5 linked regions of the Macaca mulatta genome follow. The protein of the gene in region 3 interacts with the protein of the main gene of each other region in a biochemical or structural test. Links are inferred from orthologs where the notes say so. Each region holds a gene or a part of one and is shown on either strand. Other genes may lie near its edges.

Evidence for each region.
Region 1: of the proteins of CRYAB (region 3) and CCND1, one has a biochemical effect on the other in vitro, tested with the Homo sapiens proteins (2 studies listed by BioGRID, with this or other methods). The link is inferred for Macaca mulatta from reciprocal best matches to the Homo sapiens genes CRYAB and CCND1.
Region 2: the proteins of CRYAB (region 3) and CS form a complex in vitro, tested with the Homo sapiens proteins (3 studies listed by BioGRID). The link is inferred for Macaca mulatta from reciprocal best matches to the Homo sapiens genes CRYAB and CS.
Region 4: the proteins of CRYAB (region 3) and CRYBA1 form a complex in vitro, tested with the Homo sapiens proteins (2 studies listed by BioGRID and IntAct, with this or other methods). The link is inferred for Macaca mulatta from reciprocal best matches to the Homo sapiens genes CRYAB and CRYBA1.
Region 5: the proteins of CRYAB (region 3) and SNCA form a complex in vitro, tested with the Homo sapiens proteins (4 studies listed by BioGRID, with this or other methods). The link is inferred for Macaca mulatta from reciprocal best matches to the Homo sapiens genes CRYAB and SNCA.

The regions. Positions count from the first base shown.
Region 1 is NC_133419.1:5,015,056-5,019,247, forward strand, and holds the start of CCND1 (G1/S-specific cyclin-D1), read right to left. Parts: upstream 2,803-4,192; 5' UTR 2,599-2,802; coding exon 2,401-2,598; intron 871-2,400; coding exon 655-870; intron 68-654; coding exon 1-67. UniProt on the Homo sapiens protein: Regulatory component of the cyclin D1-CDK4 (DC) complex that phosphorylates and inhibits members of the retinoblastoma (RB) protein family including RB1 and regulates the cell-cycle during G(1)/S transition.
Region 2 is NC_133416.1:63,464,807-63,468,972, reverse strand, and holds the start of CS (citrate synthase, mitochondrial), read left to right. Parts: upstream 1-1,360; 5' UTR 1,361-1,500; coding exon 1,501-1,542; intron 1,543-3,004; exon of another isoform or gene 3,005-3,089; intron 3,090-4,166. UniProt on the Homo sapiens protein: Key enzyme of the Krebs tricarboxylic acid cycle which catalyzes the synthesis of citrate from acetyl coenzyme A and oxaloacetate.
Region 3 is NC_133419.1:112,657,535-112,661,622, forward strand, and holds the start of CRYAB (alpha-crystallin B chain), read right to left. Parts: upstream 2,803-4,088; 5' UTR 2,770-2,802; coding exon 2,569-2,769; intron 1,779-2,568; exon of another isoform or gene 1,710-1,778; intron 1,488-1,709; coding exon 1,365-1,487; intron 16-1,364; coding exon 1-15. Other genes in the region: HSPB2 (heat shock protein beta-2), read left to right, coding at 3,875-3,968. UniProt on the Homo sapiens protein: May contribute to the transparency and refractive index of the lens. Has chaperone-like activity, preventing aggregation of various proteins under a wide range of stress conditions.
Region 4 is NC_133421.1:37,967,966-37,972,016, forward strand, and holds the start of CRYBA1 (beta-crystallin A3), read left to right. Parts: upstream 1-1,251; 5' UTR 1,252-1,256; coding exon 1,257-1,287; intron 1,288-3,405; coding exon 3,406-3,470; intron 3,471-4,051. UniProt on the Homo sapiens protein: Crystallins are the dominant structural components of the vertebrate eye lens.
Region 5 is NC_133410.1:99,154,545-99,158,713, forward strand, and holds the start of SNCA (alpha-synuclein), read right to left. Parts: upstream 2,809-4,169; 5' UTR 2,620-2,808; intron 1,976-2,619; exon of another isoform or gene 1,910-1,975; intron 1,677-1,909; exon of another isoform or gene 1,473-1,676; intron 1,301-1,472; exon of another isoform or gene 1,256-1,300; intron 773-1,255; exon of another isoform or gene 639-772; intron 205-638; 5' UTR 180-204; coding exon 59-179; intron 1-58. UniProt on the Homo sapiens protein: Neuronal protein that plays several roles in synaptic activity such as regulation of synaptic vesicle trafficking and subsequent neurotransmitter release.

The sequences.
Region 1 (4,192 bases), about 110 Mb from region 3:
TGAAATCGTGCGGGGTCATGGCGGCCAGGTTCCACTTGAGCTTGTTCACCAGGAGCAGCTCCATTTGCTGCGAACACAGGGTGAGCGGCCATCAGGGGAGGTGCGGGCCGGCCCGGGGGCGCGGGGAAGCCGGCAGCATGGGGGCCCGGGGCCATGCAGCACCTCCGGCTCAGAGCACTGGCTCCTGCGTCTCGTGCGGTCCTGGAGGTGGGAGGGGAGGGCTGGCGAATGATGGGGGTGGTATCGGGGAGCCGGGGCAACACGCGATCCCAGATCAAAACAGAAAAGGTGCCCGCTGCGTGAAAAGACTCTGCAAGTGGAAACAAAAAGACCTCCCACCACCTGAAACAGGAGGCTCAGTGCGGAGCGCGGCGCTCCTCGTGCAGCCGCTGGAGGGCGCGCGCCGCCCACTTTTCGGCCACACTGCCGGGCGCGAACGCGGTGGGAGTCGCAGGCAAGCGACTTGGGGGCGGTGGGACGGGGGCGGCTAGGATCCCGCCCGCTCCCGGGACAGGGACGCCCGGCGGCGGGGCCGCCCTCCCTGGGAGCAGATATGCCAGAGGCGGGCCGGCCGCCACTGCCTGCACCTTCCCCGGCCCCGTGATCCTGCGTGCGACTCTCGGGGGGCAGGGGGCGGCGGGGTCCCGCGGTTACCAGCAGCTCTTCGGGCCGGATGGAGTTGTCGGTGTAGATGCACAGCTTCTCGGCCGTCAGGGGGATGGTCTCCTTCATCTTAGAGGCCACGAACATGCAGGTGGCCCCCAGCAGCTGCAGGCGGCTCTTTTTCACGGGCTCCAGCGACAGGAAGCGGTCCAGGTAGTTCATGGCCAGCGGGAAGACCTCCTCCTCGCACTTCTGCTCCTCGCAGACCTGCGGAGGCACGGGGCCCGTGACCGCCGCCGCCAGGTCGCGCCGCCCCACCCCCGCCCCCGCACCCCCCCATCGCGCTCGGCAGGACCGCCAGTTCTGAAGGGCGCCGAGGGGTGGGGGCCGGGGGCGGAAGGACCTTCCTGTGATGCGCCCCCTCCCCCGCGCGTCCCCAGTACCCACCCTCCCCGAAACTGAAAGGGAAAGTCCCCGCGAGGCTGGCACGGTGGGGGCGGGAGCGGGCACAGCTGGGCGGCGTGCGCGGCGGCGCGGGCTGCCAGCCCTGGGGACCCCGGCCCGCCCTGGAGCTCCGTGGTCCCTCTGACTGAGGGTCGACACCCACTGGGGTGCGGGGCCGCGGAACGGGCCGCGGGGTTGGGCGCCGCGCCTGCGAGACACAAAGGTGGCGTCCCAGGCCGCCGCGCCGCATTTCCCCAGACGTCATCTTTTCAAAAAATATTTAAAAATATTAAAAAAATAACTAAGTGCATAAAAAAACCCTGAAAATGACCCTCGGGCGACCCTTTACCCAGGCCGAGGGTCGGGAGTTCGTTACAGGCTCCGGGGGGAGCCCCAGGAATTCAAACTCCGGGGCCCCCCTTCCCCCTGGGCGCGGGCGGCGTTTCCCTCTCGCAAGGGCACCACGCCGCACTTTCAAAAATTATTTAAAAATACTTGCGGGCCCCTCAGGCGCCCACCGAAGGTCTGAAAATGTGCTCCCAGGCCCCCGGCTCCCTCAGAGAAGGTCCCCCAAGCCGAGATCCCTGCAGACGGGGATCAAGCCCTGGCGTCTTGGGGGCCACGCGACCTTGCAGCTCGGCGTGCTCTCCGGCCCTGGCTGCCCATTTGGGGCGCCCCGGGACTCGCTGCTTAAACAAAGGGCCCCCCTTCCCGAGCGGGGTCCCCCCAAAACTCCCCATGCCGCGTCCCTGCGCCCCTCCCGCGGGCTCCCGGCGGCCGCGCGGCCCCTAGCTGCGGCCCCAGCGCCCGGCGGCCGCTCCCCGCCCCCACCCTGCCCCCAATTATTAATAAACACTTTTGCTTTGCAATAAAAGAGCAAAGATGGCGCATAATACTGGCACGAGCGGCCCTTGCATACGTGTCCATGGATATTAATTTAAAAATCAAATCTATGCCCCCTCCCCCCGGAGTTGGCGGCTCTCGGCCGCAGCGGCCGCGAGAGGAGGCGCAGCCGGGCTGGGGCGCAGGCGGGGGGCACAAAGCGCACTCAGCCTGCCAGCCCGCACCCTCGGGCCCATTGGGGTGCCCCGACACTGGCTTCTCCCGACGGCACCCCTCCCCAACCCCCTTCTCCCCTCCCACGAAACGCAACTTATAGCACCCCCACCCCCACCCCTTCCTGCTTCAGAAAATACCCACAATTTTTATTTTTAAAATGCGGATCCCTAGCAACACCACAGCAAACTTCAAAGTTCTAGCGGGAGAGAAGGGAGGGGGGTGAGGAGCAAAGAAACGTGGGTCTGGGCAACAAGTTGCAGGGAAGTCTTAAGAGAGCCGCCCAAAGCCCCGCACCTCCAGCATCCAGGTGGCGACGATCTTCCGCATGGACGGCAGGACCTCCTTCTGCACACATTTGAAGTAGGACACCGAGGGCGCGCAGGTCTCCTCCGCCTTCAGCATGGCCCGCAGCACCCGGTCGTTGAGGAGGTTGGCATCGGGGTACGCGCGGCGGATGGTTTCCACTTCGCAGCACAGGAGCTGGTGTTCCATGGCTGGGGCTCTGCCTGGGCAGCTAGGGAGGGCTGTGGGTCCGGGCTGGGTCCGCGCTCGGCTCTCGCTTCTGCTGCCCCGCGCTCCCTCGCGCTATTCTGCCCCTCGCCGGAGCGTGCGGACTCTGCTGCTCGCTGCTACTGCGCCGACAGCCCTCTGGAGGCTCCAGGACTTTGCAACTTCAACAAAACTCCCCTGTAGTCCGTGTGACGTTACTGTTGTTAAGCAGAGATCAAAGCCGGGCAGAGAATGGGAGCGGGAGGGGGGCGGGGGCGGGCGCAGGGGGAGGGGGCGCGGGCGCCAAACGCCGGGAGCAGCGAGGGGCAGAGCCCAAAAGCCATCCCCGAGGCGCCGCGCCTGCCCTGCGGCGGAGTTGCCCCCGTAGTCCGGTTTTCATAGAAATGCAAATCGCCCCGCTGCAGCCTTTCTCCCCGCCAGGGAAGAGGGGTGCAGGGGGCCCCGTCCGCCTCGAGTGGGTTCCCTGGGATTTAGGGGGTGAGGTGGTGGTGGCTCTGCAGTAGGGGACCACTAGGAAGGCCGGCAGGCCACACGCAGCCTGGGGAGACCACGAGAAGGGGGGACTCTAGGGCGCGGCGACACCCCATATCCAAGCCGGCAGAATGGGCGCATTTCCAAGAACGCCACGAGGGCACCCACGGGCGGACAGACGGCCAAAGAATCTCAGCGACTGCATCTTCTTTCATTTTCATTAACACGTGTAAATTTCAAGAACTATTTAGCATACAGGGACGGGGAGGACCGGGCACACAACCCCTGTGCAAGTTTCATTCCGGCGCACAGGGGCGTCGTTGCAAATGCCCAAGGGGGTAACCCTAAAAGTTAAAGGAATTTCAGCTTAGCATGCGCTCGCTCAAAAAATAAAATAAAATAAATGCCCGAAAATTCCAGCAGCAGCCCAAGATGGTGGCCAGCATTTCCTTCATCTTGTCCTTCTAGCCTGGAGACTCTTCGGGCTGCCTTCCTACCTTGACCAGTCGGTCCTTGCGGGGATCCCCAAATGCACCCCCTCCCTTCCCGTGCCGGCAATTTAACCGGGAGAAACACACGTCTGAATGGAAAGCTGAGAAACAGTGATCTCCGTTCTGACTCATTTTTTTAATTAAAAAAGAAATTAAATTGCTGGAAATATTAGTCGCCTCAGCCTGGGACAAGACCACTGGAAGGTTCCTAATTGGTTTTGTTGGGGGTGTAGACGTCCCTTCACCTTTAGAGTTTGCCCTGGGACTAAATTCGTGAGCATGAGGGGGCTGGCAGGAGCGGGCATAATTCAGAACAATTATCAATTAAACAAATGAGTGTACTGATCTGATTTTTAGCAAAATCGATAGGTGTTCGTGGTTTCATGAGAGGGTCCCCACTACCGCAAACTTAAGCAGATGTAAATTAAAATACATAGTTTTTAAAATAACAGGTTCTGTCTCTTTGGTGCATTAAAAAATAAAAGGACATTTTACTGTCTTAACTTTTGTTTTTGTTATTTTAATAGTACCTGCCCCAAATTAAGAAAACTGTTCATTTACTTCCTTTTGAATATAGTTTAGTGTCATCAAACCACCGTATCCTCTTAACAGTA
Region 2 (4,166 bases), on a different chromosome or scaffold from region 3:
GATGCCCTGGTCCTTGGGTCAGTTCCCCTCTACCCTTGGGTCAATGACTACGACAGGCTTGGGGAGGCACAAAGGTCCTGAAGCCTTGTCTACCCAGAGGAGTTAGAAAGTAGTGCGGAATATCACTTCAGGGTCGTGTAACGGTCTCTGGGGAGCACAGGATGAGAGAGCATAGAAGATTGCCAAGTGGCCGGGTGCGGTTGCTCACGCATGTAATTCCAGCACTTTGGGAGGCTGAGGCGGGTGCATCACGAGGTCAGGAGATCAAGACCATCCTGGCTAACACGGTGAAACCCCGTCTCTACTAAAAATACAAAAAGTTAGCCGGGTGTGGTGGCCGGCGCCTGTAGTCCCAGCTACTCGGGAGGCTGAGGCAGGAGAATGGCGTGAACCCGGGAGGCGGAGCTTACAGTGAGCCAAGATCGCGCCACTGCACTCCAGCCTGGGCGACAGAGCAAGACTCGTCTCCAAAAAAAAAAAAAAAAAAAGGTTGCCAAGTGGAAGTGGCCCAGAGGCCCTAGAGAATGATGTGAGGAAAGGGGATCTTCGATGAGGGGTTAGTCTGCGGCTCCTAATGTATGTCTAGAGTGGGGTGGGCTGCTGTGTGGAGTTACGTGACCAGAGTGGCAGTGAGACTAATGCCCATGACCCAGAGACTGTGGCCGGCTTTGTAAGCCTTCATAGTAAGGGGGCAGTTGTTAAGACTTGGATTTCCTGCCATTATACATAGAACTGACAGCTCACAAAGCACTAGATATTCAGGCTCCTGCTTTTGCTTTTCTACCCATATCGGGGTCTGTTAGTATCTATAATGTCGTGGCCTCTGCTGACCTCAAATGATCTCCACCAAGCAACTAACTCTGGCATCACAGCCTGTTGTCCACATGATGTCGCCTCCATGGCCATGAAGCCATTAACCAAAGACATGCCTCAAGAAAGCGTGCCAAGGCGGTAGGAGGAGCAGGCAATGATCAGTTTCCATGATAGCTTATTAAGGAATTGGCTTCAAGGACCTTCAAAGATCGAGTCCTGGAGCGTCTCCTTCAGTATTCGCCTCAGAGATAACCCCAAATGTGTTAAGGTCAAAGGGAAAAGCCAAGAGGGAAGTTAACTGAGTTCTCAGGCACCTACTTGGCCACCCGCATTCCCCCGCCCGCCACCCATACACCCTTAATTAGCCCTAATCCGGGCGGTCCAATCCTCCCCGTCACAACTGCTGTCAAGGGCTCAGGTCCCGCCCCGCTTCCATACCGGACCAATGGCCGGGCCCAGGGAGAGTCCCCTGAGAGGGGCGGGCTCGGGTTCCGGCCGGTGGGCGGGGCCTCGCTGAGGACCCCGGGCTGGGCGCCGCCGCCGGTTCGTCTACCCTTTCCCTCAGCCGCCTCCTTTCAACCTTGTCCACCCGTCGGCGCGGCCTCTGGTGCAGCGGCGGCTGCTCCTGTTCCTGCCGCAGCTCTCTCCCCTTCTTACCTCCCCATCAGATCCCGGAGATCGCCCGCCATGGCTTTACTCACTGCGGCCGCCCGGCTCTTAGGAACCAAGGTGAGCAGCGAGGGGAGGGAGCACGCCGTCCCAGGGTGGGGCTGAGGCGACCGCAGGCCCTCCGGCGCCGGGGTCTCCCTCCCACACCCGTGCGCACCCTGCGCGCCTTAAAGGGCCCTGCGCTTGGCTGGCCGCCAGCCCTGCGTGAAGCTCCCGGGACCATGTGCCGCGCTTCCCTTCTGTCTCCTGGGGGTGAAGTGTACGCCGCCCGCCCTCGGCCAGCAGTCTAGGGCGCGTGAGGCGGCCGACCCTGCTGTCACCCCGCATGTCTGAAATGAAAGGGGAGGGGATGCGTGGCCCTGAAATAGGAAGGAGCTGAGACAGGAACCTCTGGTAGAGAAGAGATGTAGTGTTCCTCTGGAGTTACATTCAGTTTGGTGGAGGGAGCGGGAGTGAAGAGATGTGCTCACTCTGGAGCAGTGGCTAATTTCGTCCTCTGCTTTATAGGAAGGGCATTGTCAGTTCCCGAACTGCCTGTTTCCATTTCTCCAAGTCTATTATTTAAACCTTCGGTGACCACGCCGAGCACAAGAATGGGTCCTTCAGGCCCTCCTCTTTGTCCTTGGGACTCTTGCACTTTTTATATAGGAGGAGCTTGGGTGAGGTGGAGCATTTCTGTACAGCCTCCTGCATGACTATCATATATGATTGGAGAAAGAACCAGAAAGGTGGTTCCGCCAAACTGCAGGCCAATAAAGGAAGATCCTCGGCAAGAGATAGTAATGCCAAGGTCACATGACCATCATACTACTTGCTTACCCAGGTTTTGCCGTTGATCTTAAGTCTACTTTATCCAGGAACTTTCTCTCCTTCTTTGGGGTCCTTTACTTGGTATTGGCCATAGAAATACTGTTGCAGGTAATGATGCCTTCAATTTCAAATCGCCAGTACTTTTAGTTCTAGGTAACTTGGCCCTTTTAGACAGAAACTGCTGTGCTGAGGGAGTCCCAGCCCTCTAATCCAAGCAGGGGACAGTCCCACAAGTGACCTTGACTTCTGCAAAGAACTCAGTTTTTCCTGCGGATAATTTAAAGCTGATAGCACCTAAAGGAAAGGAAAGCTTTAGGATGGTTTTGGCTTGCTGTATGTAATTTTTTTTTTTTTTTTTTTTTGAGACAGGATATTGCTCTGTCACTCAAGCTGGAGTCTTCTGGTGTGACCAAGGCTCCCTGCAGCTTGAGCCTCTCCTGGGCTCAAGCAATCCTCCCACTTCAGCCTCCCGAGTAGCTGGGACCACAGGTGTGCACCACCACACCCGGCTAATCTTTTTTTATTTTTTAGTGGAGGCGGTGTCTCCTTTTGTTGCCCAGGCTGGTCTTGAACTCCTGAGCTCAAGTGATCTTCCTGACTCAGCCTCCCAAAGTGCTGGGATTACAGGTGTGAACCACTGCACCTGGCCTGCTGGGCATTATTTTTCATGGTTGGCACAAAGTGTAACTTGTGAGATTTACCTTGGTTCTTCCAGGCACCGAGTGGCAAGTACTAGCTGAGCATTTGGGAGATGCTTGTCTTACTTGGCTGTTGCTTCTCCTGCTGCTGGGGAAAGGGTAAGGAAACCTCTTGGGAAATGAAGCAAGTTCTAGATAGCGTTTTGGCAGAATGGGGGACACTATAATTAGCTCATTTTGGACCTGCTAACCCAGACCAGAGAGTCTAACCCTACAGTGAATGTGAAAAAGTCTTAGGATTTACCTATTGAATTTATTTTGCTCCTTAAGCCCATATGGAAGCTCAGAACACTTTTGGGGTGACAGAGCTACGTAATTATGGTACCATTATTTTCCTATTAGAGATGGCCTGGCGATCTTAGTAACCTATCAGTTGAAAGCCATTAGAAGGCTTTTGACCCTTAAAAGTAGGACAGGCGCGGTGACTCACACCTGTAATCTCAGCACTTTGGGAGGTGGAGGTGGGTGGATCACCTGAGGTCGGGAATTCGAGGCCAGCCTGACCAACATGGAGAAACCCCATCTCTATGAAAAATGCAAAATTAGCCAGGCATGGTGGTGGATGCCTGTAATCCCAGCTACTTGGGAGGCTGAGGCAGGAGAATCACTCAAACCCGGGAGGTGGATGTTGCAGTGAGTCGAGATCATGCCATTGCCCTCCAGCCTGGGCAACAAGAGCAAAACTCCGTCTCAAGGAGAAAAAAAAAAAGGGTAGCAAAGCCCAGTACACTCAGGACTGGAAATCTCCTGAGAAATAAGCAATATGACCAGGATACCAAGAAGCTTGTTGGCTTGTCAGCATTGCTGGCACCTACCTGTGCTTTCTAGATTAGCCTGTGGATAATGGTAGTCATAATTGGTAATTTTACTTTTGCTAATAAGGTAGACTTTGGGAGGCAGTAATTTCTCACCAGTGAGAACTGACTCTTACCACTTTGAGTGTCAGCGTCAGGTGTAGTTTTACTTTTCTGAGAAGAAAATTTTTTTTTTTTTTTTTTGAGACAGAGTCTCACTCTGTCAGGCTGGAGTGCAGTGGAGTAATCTCTTCTCGCTGTAACCTCTGCCTCCCAGGCTTAAGCAATTCTCGTGACTCAGCCTCCTGAGTAGCTGGGGTTAGCAGGTGTGCACCACCACACCCAGCTAATTTTTTGTATATTTGGTAGAGATGGGAATTCA
Region 3 (4,088 bases):
GAAACCATGTTCATCCTAACCCAAAAGAATGAGGAAAGAGGCAGAGAGATAAGAATATGAACTACTATCACCTGCCCAGAACTCAGGCATCCTGATTTCCCCTTAGGTGAGACCAAATGCCATGACAACATAGGAAAAATAAACAGTGCTTTGTTTCAGGGTTGTGGCTAAGATGAAGTTACCTAGGTAGTCACTCCTACCAGTGAGAATCTGAGAAGTCTGAAACAGTACAACACTTCATTGTTTTTCAAACCCTGAGGCATAGATATGTTTAGGAGTATTTCCCAAAGGTTTAGATAATGTTGACTGGGCCTACAGAATTTGGAATCTCATTTAGAATCTGAGTCCCTGAGGAAGCCCTGAAATTGTCCTGACTCTTCAGGAATGTCCCAGAAGGTTCCAGAACAATAGGACTGCTGCTGGGGAAAAAAAAAAAAAAAAAAAAAAAAAAAAAAGACTCCATCCAAGGAGACTATGACCCAAACCTAAATCATATGAGCAAAATTGAAACAGCCTGAGGACATTACTAAGGACAAACTGTACTGGTTGACGCACAGGTTCTGAGCTATCGCTGAGCTATCGTTAATTGGTGAGAAGGAATTTTAAAGCCCTCTTACAAAGTCATGAAAAGCTGTTCCATTCGTCAGAATTCCCCCAAAGAGTAGATGACCTTAACCCGTATGCCTGCTGACTCTCAAGCATGTAGCCAAACAGGCTCTCATTAACTGATTTCCGCATGGGCTATAGGGGATTAAAGACTGAGCACAGCTCTGAAATTTAGACAAACCAAGTAGTTCAGCATTAAGATGGGCTAAAGAAGAGACATGGATTCTTGCACAGCTAACAGAGAATTCACAACTCAAGTGCCTTTAGGGTACCTGTAGTTAATGTAATTATGCAAAGCAACTAGGTGTCTGACAGCCCTATACCTAAATCAGTGGTCCTCAACCTTGACTGTAGATTAGAATTACCTTAAAAAATGTTGATGCCCTGGGTCCCACCCCTAAAAATTCTGATTTAATTGGTCTGGAATATGCCTGAGCATTAGGTTTTTTGAAAGTTCCCCTGGTGATTCTAATGTGGCCAAGATTCAGAACCTCTGGCTAAGATGGGGCATCAACATCCCATCATCCCATCTAAGGCGATCAAATCAAACAAAGACCACATCTCTGGCCATAACAACAGTAACAACAGCAATAGGTCTATCCCTAACTTAGTCTTCTAGACATTGATTTGTAACCCCTGATCTAGACTATTATAGCTTGGGACTGGAATGTAGCCAGCCTCCAAAGCTGATAGCACTACCTGGACTATTACAGTATACACTGAATGAATGAGCAGAAAACAAAAACCAAGCTACATACCTGGCGCTCTTCATGTTTGCCATGCACCTCAATCACATCTCCCAACACCTTAACTTTGAGTTCCTCTGGGGAGAAGTGCTTCACATCCAGGTTGACAGAGAACCTGTCCTTCTCCAGGCGCATCTAGAAATAGCAAGGTAAGGGAATGGGACGGGAGAAAGATGGCGAAAGTACTCATTATACTGGTGTTGTCTTATTCTGCAGAGTTGCTTTCTGTCCAGGTAATTCATCCTTCTCTTTTCTGCTTTAAAATATCCCCTTTTTAAATAAACATGGCTCTCTGCTTCAGGGAGCCACCACAGTGATACCTAAGGCTCATGGTGATCAGACCCAAACTTTATTTACAGGGACAGAGAAGAAGACAGATCACCCAGGGGACCAGTCGCAAGGATGGGTGCAGGCCTGGCATCTGCTGCCTCTCTGGCTCCGATGCCTGGCTTTGTGGTTTGTCTGTGAGACAAAGGCCTCTTCTTCTGGCTCAGGTCTCTTTGCCAGTTTTCCACCCACCCAATCTGGAATGTTCTGCTGGTCCTGCTTGTCCTTCCAAAGCCCTTGCCCACTCATCTCCTGTTTACTCACACTCGAATATTTTTAAACCAGAGCGTTATCTGTGACAGCTTCTGTCAACCTTATATGTTCACCCTGTTCTCTCACCCTCTTAGGACGAGTGGGGGTCCCTATATTGTTTCCTCATAAGGCTTGGTTGGACCCAGGCCAATGCCCTGTCACAGCCCTGAGAAACCCAGAAAATCACAGAAGAGGGAATAAAAAGGCAGAAAATGCCCATGAGGGTGAACAGCTCAGGCAGGGTGAGGCAGGGCTCTCTCCTGGCTCTGACACCTGAGATGGTAAAATTGGTCAAGAGTCCATGGTGTTAGAAGAGATGAGCAAAGGAGTTTGAAGGCAGCTCTTTCCCTGCAGATTGTTATGAACCAAACCAGAAAGGGGTACCCTGCAGAGAAGTTAGGGGATGGAGGATGAACTTGACAGTGCATGAAAAAAATGTAATAAATGGGATACAGAGGACCATCAAGTAGAAACAGGTGACGGGGGAGGGAGGAACTAGCAACCTCCTCATTTTTCTTCACATTTGGATACACATGTGCCTAAAATGGTTTAGGCAGGAAAGGAGAGGAAAATGGATGGAGAAGTTTACAGGAGGTTCCAGTAAGGACTCTCCCATTCTAGCAGTGGGGAGACTCACCTCTGAGAGTCCAGTGTCAAACCAGCTGGGTGCCCGCAGGAAGGAGGGTGGCCGAAGGTAGAAGGGGCTCAGGGAAGTAGACGTCGGGAAAAGATCAGACTCCAACAGGTGCTCTCCGAAGAACTGGTCAAAGAGGCGGCTGGGGGAGTGGAAAGGAAAGAAGGGGCGGCGGATCCAGGGGTGGTGGATGGCGATGTCCATGGTGGCTAGGTGAGTGTGGGGGGTCAGCTGGCTGGTCAGCTCCTTCAGCTGCAGCTACAGCCAGCCCCTTATATATGCAGTCTTGTGAAGCTTCTGGAATGGTGATGTCAGGGGTTTTATTATCCTAGCTCACCGCCGGTTCATGGAGACTTGTGATCGGGGATTTGGCAGTGTGACACATACCCAGTACTCACTGAGCTAAGAAAAGAGAAACACAAACACGTCTGAGCCGGCCAGTGACTTGTCATGGTCTTGTTTCACTAGCTTTCTGTACACACCCAGTGGCACCCACCCCCACCCCAGTTCTCTGAAGCTGGTACAGAGTCAGGAATCCCAAGCAGGCACGCGGGCGGGTGGGGGGGCAGGCGGTGGAGTGTGCCCCTCCTCCTCCTCCTCTTCAGTCCTGAATGCCAGGGGAATCAGGCCAGCAACTATCTTGGGCCTGGGCAGGGACTGGAATCTTCCTAGGCTGGGCCCCAGGGACATTAACTCTTTGTGAGTCCTTGGAAGAGAGCAGTGATGGTCAACATGTCAGTACCAGCCATCTGCCTCCTGCCCTGGGTTGACCTGGGTTTAGGAGAGGACTCCGACATCTGGGCAGAAAGACCCCACTCCCTGAAAAAAAGAGCAGAAAGATTTCTTGCATCTTTCATCCTATGTGGCTCTCAGAACATTAAATCCAGGAGTGCTTTAGGAATTGGGTGCACAGTGCCGGCCTCCAAGGAGGAGAAAATGAGGTGTGGAAACGTGCAAACCGTTTGTGAGGGTCTCAGCGAGGCCTCTTCATGCCCCAGGCACCACCAGCTACCCCTTCTCAGCTCGTTCCTAACCAGGACCCTCAGCTGTCCTCTCAGGCCCCCTGCGACAGCTGAAGAGTGTGCGGGGGAGGGGACTAGGGGTCCAGGCGGCGCTGGTCACACCCTCGTTGCTCTCACTCAGGGCCCCCACTCCCCGCCCCTCCCCCCCAGAGGCTCGGCACTATTTTGGGTGGTGTCGACCCCGCCCCCACCTCCTATCGAGCCCTGGCTCTCCGGGCAGCTGGAGGGGTCGCGCTGCGCCTGTTGGGGCTGCACCTCGGACCAGGGCTCCCGCTGCATCTGCAGCCATGTCGGGCCGCTCAGTGCCACATGCCCACCCAGCCACCGCTGAGTACGAATTTGCCAACCCGAGCCGCCTGGGTGAGCAGCGCTTCGGAGAAGGTATGGCACAGATGCCACCCCCTTGCCTCCCACCCCCACCCCCTGAAATTCTGGGCTGACCTCCCAACGTTACTGGCCTCCACCCCACTCTGGGCTTAACTGATCTCCTGGGACCAGCCA
Region 4 (4,051 bases), on a different chromosome or scaffold from region 3:
CCAGAGGAGGTATTCAGAGGGTTGCCTTCTTCCCCTTCCTACTGCTGCCCAACGATGGCCCGCAGGCTGAAAGAGCCCTTTCCTCCTGGAACTGACATGGGACCTGGCCTGTTTGGGAGCAGAATGGTGAAAGGAATTAACATTAAAGACAAAGGGACAGGCAGTCAAGGTAATTTGAGGAGGAAAAATTGCTTCATTTCTAGGCTCCTTCCCCTTTTGAAACAGATAAAGTTGCAACCCTTATATGCTCAGTGTTTATATTCAGAATTGCAGTTCTAGCCAGGGAGGTCTCTTTCCTCTCCCGGAATTTTCTGGGCCATTTATGCATTACTCCTGAGGGAGGGCCAGTGCAGGGCAGTGACTTTAGAACTGGGTTTGAGTCTGGGCTCTGCCATTATAAATATTGTGACCTTAGGCAAGTCACTTGATCGTTCTCTGTCTTAGTTTCTTCATCTGGAAAAGAGGTGAAAATAGCACTGTTGTGGTGGCTGTGGGAAAGTATTTCTTTCTTTTCTTGTGGAAAAGTATTTAATTCAAACCTTTCAAGTAAAGCATTTAACACATGTCTAATATATAGGAGTTATTCAATAAATGGTTTAATTCTTTTTTGAAAACCCCAAAAGTTATAGCTCCAAAATTTTAAAAGAAAATTACAAAAGTAAAAGGAATATTTAATAAAATAGCTACAGAGAGACTCATGTCTGCTAGTCAACTACAATTGAAGTCAACTCTTACATAGTTATATATAAATACAGCATAAAAAAGATTCCCAAGAATACAATGAACCATTTTTTCTCAATAGAGTTCAGAATTATAATAATTCTTTCACATTTTTAAACAACAAGAAATGCATATCCTGTATGGAAGTGAGGTGCATTTTGATGTGTTTGATATGACATGGGGTCTCCCAGGGTCTAGGAAGATCCTAAGGTGGTGTGAGGAACCTGGAGAAGGACAAGAGACAAATACTCATGGCAGAGACCTCTGTCCTCACCCCCTAGCTGCTCTAAGATTAAGAAAGACTAGAGCAGCCAAGGCCTGCAGCAGCCAGCCATGCCCACAACAGAGGGGCCTCTCTGGATTTCTGTATCCCTGGTTTAAACAAAGGCCCAAGGGATGCCTGCCCAGCAAGCTGAACCACCAAAGCTCTGGGGATCAGGGGGAACAAAGGCAGAGGGACAGCAGAGTGCTGACAGGGCCAGAGGCCAGAGGCCACAGGGCTATAAAGAGGGGGGCCACAGAGCAAGTGGCACCAGATGGAGACCCAGACTGTGCAGCAGGAGCTGGGTGAGTAAGGCCCTCAGGGTGCCCTTGCCCTTCCTCTCCTTGCCCTGCAGAGACATGACCAGGAGAGGGCCCAGTTCTCCTGCCTAGTGTGTAGAGCCTTCTAGGGTGGCTGGAGAAGACTGGGGAACTCTGGCGGAAGGCAGCCTTCTCTTGTCATCCCAAGAGGAGTCACTTATATAGCAATAACCACTGCCCTAGCAACCAAGGCTGGGGGGTGGGCATGAGCCCCCAAGAAATGAGCAGGGAGAAGGTATGGGGGCAGGACCTGGGAAATGTTGCTTATTCAGAGATTGAGAATGGAAAGATATATTACAGAGTTTACACGCATCATTCCTGGGCCCAATACCAGCCAGATGGAGGGCCATGAATATCTGTCCTAAGTCAAGAAACCTAATACACACCTGCCTGTCTTCCTTCTTCCCTTCCCCCCGGCTCTTTTCCTTCCCCTTTCTTGCTCTGTGATTCCTTTTTTCAAACTCATCCTACCATCTTTACTGTCTACCTAACCTCTATGAGCCTCAGTATCCTCATTTGTAAAATGGGGATAATGATGATTCTTAATTCATAGGCTTTGTGTGAAGATTAAATGCGTGAATGCAGGTAAGCATTTAAAACAGGGCCAGACATGTAGATAGCCATTGTTGAGTGTTAACTACTGTAACTCTTCTTCACTTTCCTTCAATAAGTCTTTTTCAATGTCTCCCAATCCCTCATCCCCACATGTGCTCAGCATGATGCTATACCAATCCCCTAGAAGACCCAGGCCTTGCCATTGAGGTGCTCACCAGGACATCCAACAACCAGAATAGAGATTGGTACTGTGATGAGTGCCAGAAATCAAGAAAGAAGGCAAGTGGCTGTGGGCTGGAGAAGGCAGGAAAGCATCTGAGGAGGCAAGGTCAAGGTTGGGTAGGACCTAGGAGATAGAAAAGCAGAAAGGAATGGCCAGGCACGGTGGCTCAGGAGTTCCAGACCAGCTTGACCAATATAGTGAAACCCCTGTCTCTACTAAAAATACAAAAATACTCCGAAGAAAGAAAGAGAGAGAGAGAGAGAGAGAGAGAAAGAAAGGAGCCAGATAAGGATGAGACCGTGAAGGGTTACAAGGGAGTTTGGAGCTTGGGATCCTGGCATGGCTGGCTGTTTGGCCAGTCACATGAGGGGTCTGGCCTAGGCGGTTGCCAGAGAGTTTATATTGTGGACAGAGGCAATGCTGTCACCTGAAAGCAAATGAGAGGACGGGGTTACAATGCTTGTCAGTGCTTTACCTGCATTATTGTTTCTGATCCTTTTGTTTTTTTTTGAGATGGAGTCTCACTCTGTTGCCCAAGTTGGAGTGCAGTGGCGAGATCTCAGCTCACTGCAACCTCCGCCTCCTAGGTTCAAGTGATTCTCCTGCCTCAGCCTCCCGAGTAGCTGAGACTACAGGTGTGTGCCATCACACCCGGCTAATTTTTGTATTTTTAGTAGAGACAGGGTTTCACCACATCGGCCAGGCTGGTCTCAAACTCCTGACCTCAGGTAATCCACCCGCCTCAGCCTCCCAAAGTGCTGGGATTACAGGCGTGAACCACTGTGCCCAGCCTATTGTTTCTGATCCTTACAATAACTCTGCACGTTGAAGCTTTACCAATGGAAAAACTGAGGCTCAGTCTGGGTGCGGTGGCTCACGCCTGTAACCCCACCACTTTGGGAGGCCGAGGTGGGTGGATCACTTGAGGTCAGGAGTTCAAGACCAGCCTGGTGAACATGGTGAAACCCCCATCTCTACTAAAAATACAAAAACTAGCCGGGCATGGTGGTGCATGCCTGTAGTCCCAGCTACATGGGAGGCTGAGGCAGGAGGATCGCCTGAGCCTAGGAGGCAGAGGTTGCAGTCAAGTGAGATTGTGCCACTGCACTCTAGCCTGGATGACAGAGCAAGATCCTGTCTCAAAACAGCAACAACAACAACAACAACAACAACAAAATCCCGAGGCACAGCTAGTGAGCGGCAGAGCCAGAATTCCAACCAAAGTCTGTCTTGCAGACTTCAAGTCTCCTTTACCTTTCAAGGCATTCCGTCACCTCACCCTCCTCCCCAGAGGCCACCTCATTCATGTGTGCTCTGTCTTCCAGAAACCCTTCCAACCACGAAGATGGCTCAGACCAACCCTACGCAGGGGTCCCTGGGGCCATGGAAGGTAAGCCCACCCCCATCACATCCAACAGGGCAGGGGTGAGATGCTGCACAGAGCAGGCCCCAAGCCTGTGCTCATCCATGAAGCAGTGACTGACCAGAAAAAACCCAGTTTGTAGGGGAAAGGTCCACACAAGCTCCAGTGGTGTCAAAGGAAGGATCTCTCAGGATGTCCTGTTGGACAAAGGAAGGATGACTCTGGATGCCAATGATGGGTGGGAGATGATACCTAGTTTCCTAACTCCTCTCTCCTTCCCACTAAAGTCATCTTAAAATACAGCAGCCCAGCAATGATTATATCCATGGAGAAAATGAGGGCCCATAAAGAGATTTACTACTAGATCCCAAATCAATTACAGGACTCAGCCTCCCAGCCTGAGGTTGGCTTTAACCATTGGCTGAAGTGGCTGATCCTCAGGCCTCTCACTGGCCTCTCTCCAACACTCCCCATTCTCCTCATTGGGTCAACTCTGAGGCCAACTCACAGCTTTGGGAGTGGTCCTCTGGCCAGGTCCACAAGCCAGGTTTTAGTTCAAAGTGCAAAAAGGTTGACCATAACTCTCCTTTACACCCTAGGTTTCTATG
Region 5 (4,169 bases), on a different chromosome or scaffold from region 3:
ATTATCCTAACCCATCAGTCATGAACCAACACCAAAGTGACATTTGGGGTTTACCTACCTACATAGAGAACACCCTCTTTTGTCTTTCCTGCTGCTTCTGCCACACCCTGTTTGGTTTTCTCAGCAGCAGCCACAACTCCCTCCTTGGCCTTTGAAAGTCCTTTCATGAATACATCCATGGCTAATGAATTCCTTTACACCACACTGGAGAACATAAAATACACTTTGAATGAGAACTTTTGGGGGAAAATAAACAAAAAACACTGAAAAATCATGAGAAACCCTCCAAAGTGTGAGACTCTTTTAAGTGTACACTCATTTAACCATTGGACAAAGCAGACATTTTTAGCTCTGGCATTAAAAATTTAGCATCTCCCATCCATCTTGGCTAGTAAAAGTCTAGCCACCTAACCATGGATTAGGATGAATCCTCTGAGTTGTTAATACTGCATTTCAGAAGTGGAGTTGCATGAAAAGAGTCACTCCTGTTTTAACTTCCCGGGGTCTAAAGGGTAACAGTGTGAGTTAGAAGCATGGAAGCTGGAGGCTTAGGGTCTGGGGCATCCTTAACATGAATCCCAGAAGAAGGCTAACAGGTTGATGGTGGAGAGGCGTAGGCAAGAGAACTAACTACTCACTCTGGGTGTGGTTCAACCTCAGGCAAACAGCGAGCCCAAGGGTGCTGGTTCTAATACATCCGAGCATCCACCCCCGCCCTCAGATATCTACCCTGAGCAGGCGGCGCTCACACTCGCGGGCCGTCTCTAACCCTGCGCCAGCCACCCGAGGGGGCGTTCTCAGCATCCACCCTAGCGGACCCCGCGCCAGCACTTGTTAACCCTTTACCACCTGTTGACTTGGCCTCCCTGCACTTCCATTTCATTATTTGCCAAAGGCAGCTTGCTTACTTTACAGAGAAAAACCAAGAGAGCGGGCAGACGGATTTCAGGTAAGAGAGAAATAAAAGTTGGATGCTTACGCTCCAGGGAGCATCCTCGCGTTTCCCGGGGAAAAGCGGATCCCGGAGACGCATCCTAATCTCTCAGCCCTTGGGGAGAAGCCCTTGACAGGACGAAAGCCAGGTCAAGTCTCTTTCCTTAGGCTCCCCAAAGGGACAAGTACTCACCTCCCAGAGACCTGGCACAGCAGGTCCTCACCGCAGCACCACCCCCTCCTGGTGCCCACGACCATTCCTCTCCCACCCGGCTTTCTCCAGGATTTCCAAAGACGCCCGTTTAGATCCACAGGTACTTACCTGTGTCCCTCTGCTTCTCCACAACTCCGATTCCTCCCTACCTCTCTTTAAAAAAAAAAAAAATTAAACAATTCCCAAATAATATTTAATAGGGAAGAAGGAGGAAAAGGAGCGCACAGGAAGGGCGGAGGCGGCACCGGGAGGGGGACGGTCCCCAGAGGAGGCCGCTGTGAGCCGACGACGGGAGGCTGGGGGCGTGGGAGGCAAACCCGCTAACCTGTCGTCGAATGGCCACTCCCAGTTCTCCGCTCACGAGGATGGAGAAAAAGGCAGAAGGTTTGAAGGGAAGGCGTGAGGGAGCGCTCAGGACGCTCTCGGAGGGGCCGGGCCGGGGTCTGCGCTGCAGCCCGCACGCACCTCACTCCCGCGTCGCGGCGCTCGGTCGCTCGCCCCCTCTCTCGGGCCCCTTCTGGTCGTCGCCGTCCTCCTCCTCCTCGTCCTCCTCCTTCTCCTTCTCCTCGGCTCTCCGCCCCCACCGCTGATTTGTCAGCGCCTCTCCACGCTCCCCTCCCAGCGCTCGCTGCTTTCCCTGCAGCGTGCTCTTCGTTCCCTATCTCGGATGGGGATGGGGCAGGGGGCGCAGGGTGAACCACCAATTCCAGCCGCCTGCCTGGCCGCGCAAGGCGGGAAAGTGGGGGCGCTTTTGCGCCTCACCTCAAGTTCAGGGTCACGGGCACTCTTGTGGCGATTGGGAGCGGTTGGGCTTGGGCTGACGACTCTCCCTCTTTCCCATTCCCCTCCCTTCCTGTCCCCGCCTTTCCTCCGGGTCCTCCCTGGGACCACCCCCTACCCCTCGTCAGAGTCGACCTGGGAGAGCTGAGGGCCTGAGGGTCGACCACCCAGAGCAGAGCCTATCCTTTGGGGAGACAGGCAGCGCAGGGAGGTGGCTCACACCGCACCGCCGAGAGCACTTTGCCCTCGCATCGCTGACATTTAATCACGGTCACAGGCTACGTTAAGGGTCGCTTTAGTTCAAATATCCTCAAGATTTTCGTTTGCTCTTAATCCAGGTCGAGCTCGAAAGGGTCCCGCGGGTGAATCGGAGACTACTAAGGAAGAGTTACAGGTTGAGGAGGCAGGAGGAGGCTCAGCAAATCCTCTTCCCACCCCACTATCACCATTTTCCTTTCCACCAATCAGCGCCTGCCAGACGCTGATTTTCCCATCAGCGGAACGAGGAATAAATATTCCCCAGCCGTCTAAAACAAGCGGTCCTAAGGCTTTTCGCTCTAGAAATGGGACTTACTTTGCAGACCTAAGTGCATGGTCTGGTAGACAAATCCAGCGTGATTTACCCTACCAGACCATCATATCCAATTTCTTTTTCAGCCCCTTCTGAAAGGGAGATGCTACACGCCACTCACCTTTCTGACTTCTAATTCTCGTTGCCCTCAGAATTGACATCCCCTTTTCTCTCCCCCGACCCACCACATGCACAGACACACAGACGTACACACGCGAACCTCAAGACAATTTTTGCATCGCTTAACACATTTTCACCTCTTTCAGAACTGGAAGACAGCTATTCCTGGATCACACCAGAATGGAGAAGCAAGCTCCTCCCACTAGCAGAAAGCCTTTGCTTTCTGTGCCTGGATTCCGAAGATTAGTTAAGCACTGGTGGGGGCCGGCGGGGGGGGCGGGGACAACAGCTCGTTTTTGCTGTGTTTTTTAAAAATTGTTTTTATGTTTGTAGCTAATGCTTTGTCTGATTCTTGCACTCATTTGGATTCTGAAATTTGAGTAAAATCAAATGTAAACATACAAAACAACTTTAAAACCACAAGGAATAGTAAACAAATGATTATACATGAAAGACATATAGAAGATAATGCCTATGTGTTCAGTGGAAAATAGAAAAACATGAAAGTAAGATTACAAATTTTTATTACTTAAACTCTTCCTTGAACTATTGGTCTGCCCTTTGGAAAAACAGACTTTCCATAACGCAGTAGCTCATATTAATAGTTTGTGTTTGCTTAGGACCAGAGCAAGAAGGTTGGACTTGGGAGCTAGTTTGTTGTCTGGCTTGGAGACCTTGAACAAGTTATGTTCTCCTTCTGTTTCCAGTTTTATTTTTTGTAAATGAGGAGATGAACTCAGGTGATCGCCCTATATTCAACTTTTTGTTATGGGAAATATTCAAACATACGCAAAAGTAGAAAGAATAAAGGACTCCCATGTGAATATCACCCAACTTTTACATTTTTTCTATGCATGGCATATCATGTCTCATTCATAAGTCCACTCACTTTATCACTACCAATCCTCCCTATTTTTTTTCACAAAATTCAAGCTTTATATACATCTTTTCAACTGTAAACATTCAGTATGCATCCACAAAATTTAAGAACTGTTTAAAAATAACCACAATGTCATTAGACGATTCTTTTAAATTTCAGTGTAATTTACACCTAGTGAAATGCTCAGATGTTGTGTCCCTTTAAATCAGTTTTGAAAAAACCATGCATTGGTGTAACCCACACTATTTTGAAGACACAGGACATTTTCATCACTCCAGACAGTTACCTTGCACCCTTCATGTGCATATTCTAGAATGTCATAAAAGTCTAATCACGTAGTATAAACTTTTTTATATCTGTCTGACTTCTTTTACTCAGCATAGTATTTGTGAGGTGATTCATGTCATTGCATGAATCGGTGGTTTGTTTTTTATTGCTTTTTGTTGTTTCTTTTTATTATTGTTAATAGTGTAAGTTTTCCATTGTGTCTTATTACAACTAGTACTTCAATAGGCTATTACAACAATTATTTAATATATTATTTCATATGACATATTTATAGTATAACAGTGACCTCTTTGAGACCTGGTGCTTTGAGTCAAATAGGTAAATAAAATGCGATATTTTAGGTCTCATTACCAGACCAATGTGAGATAATTATTTTTGGACAG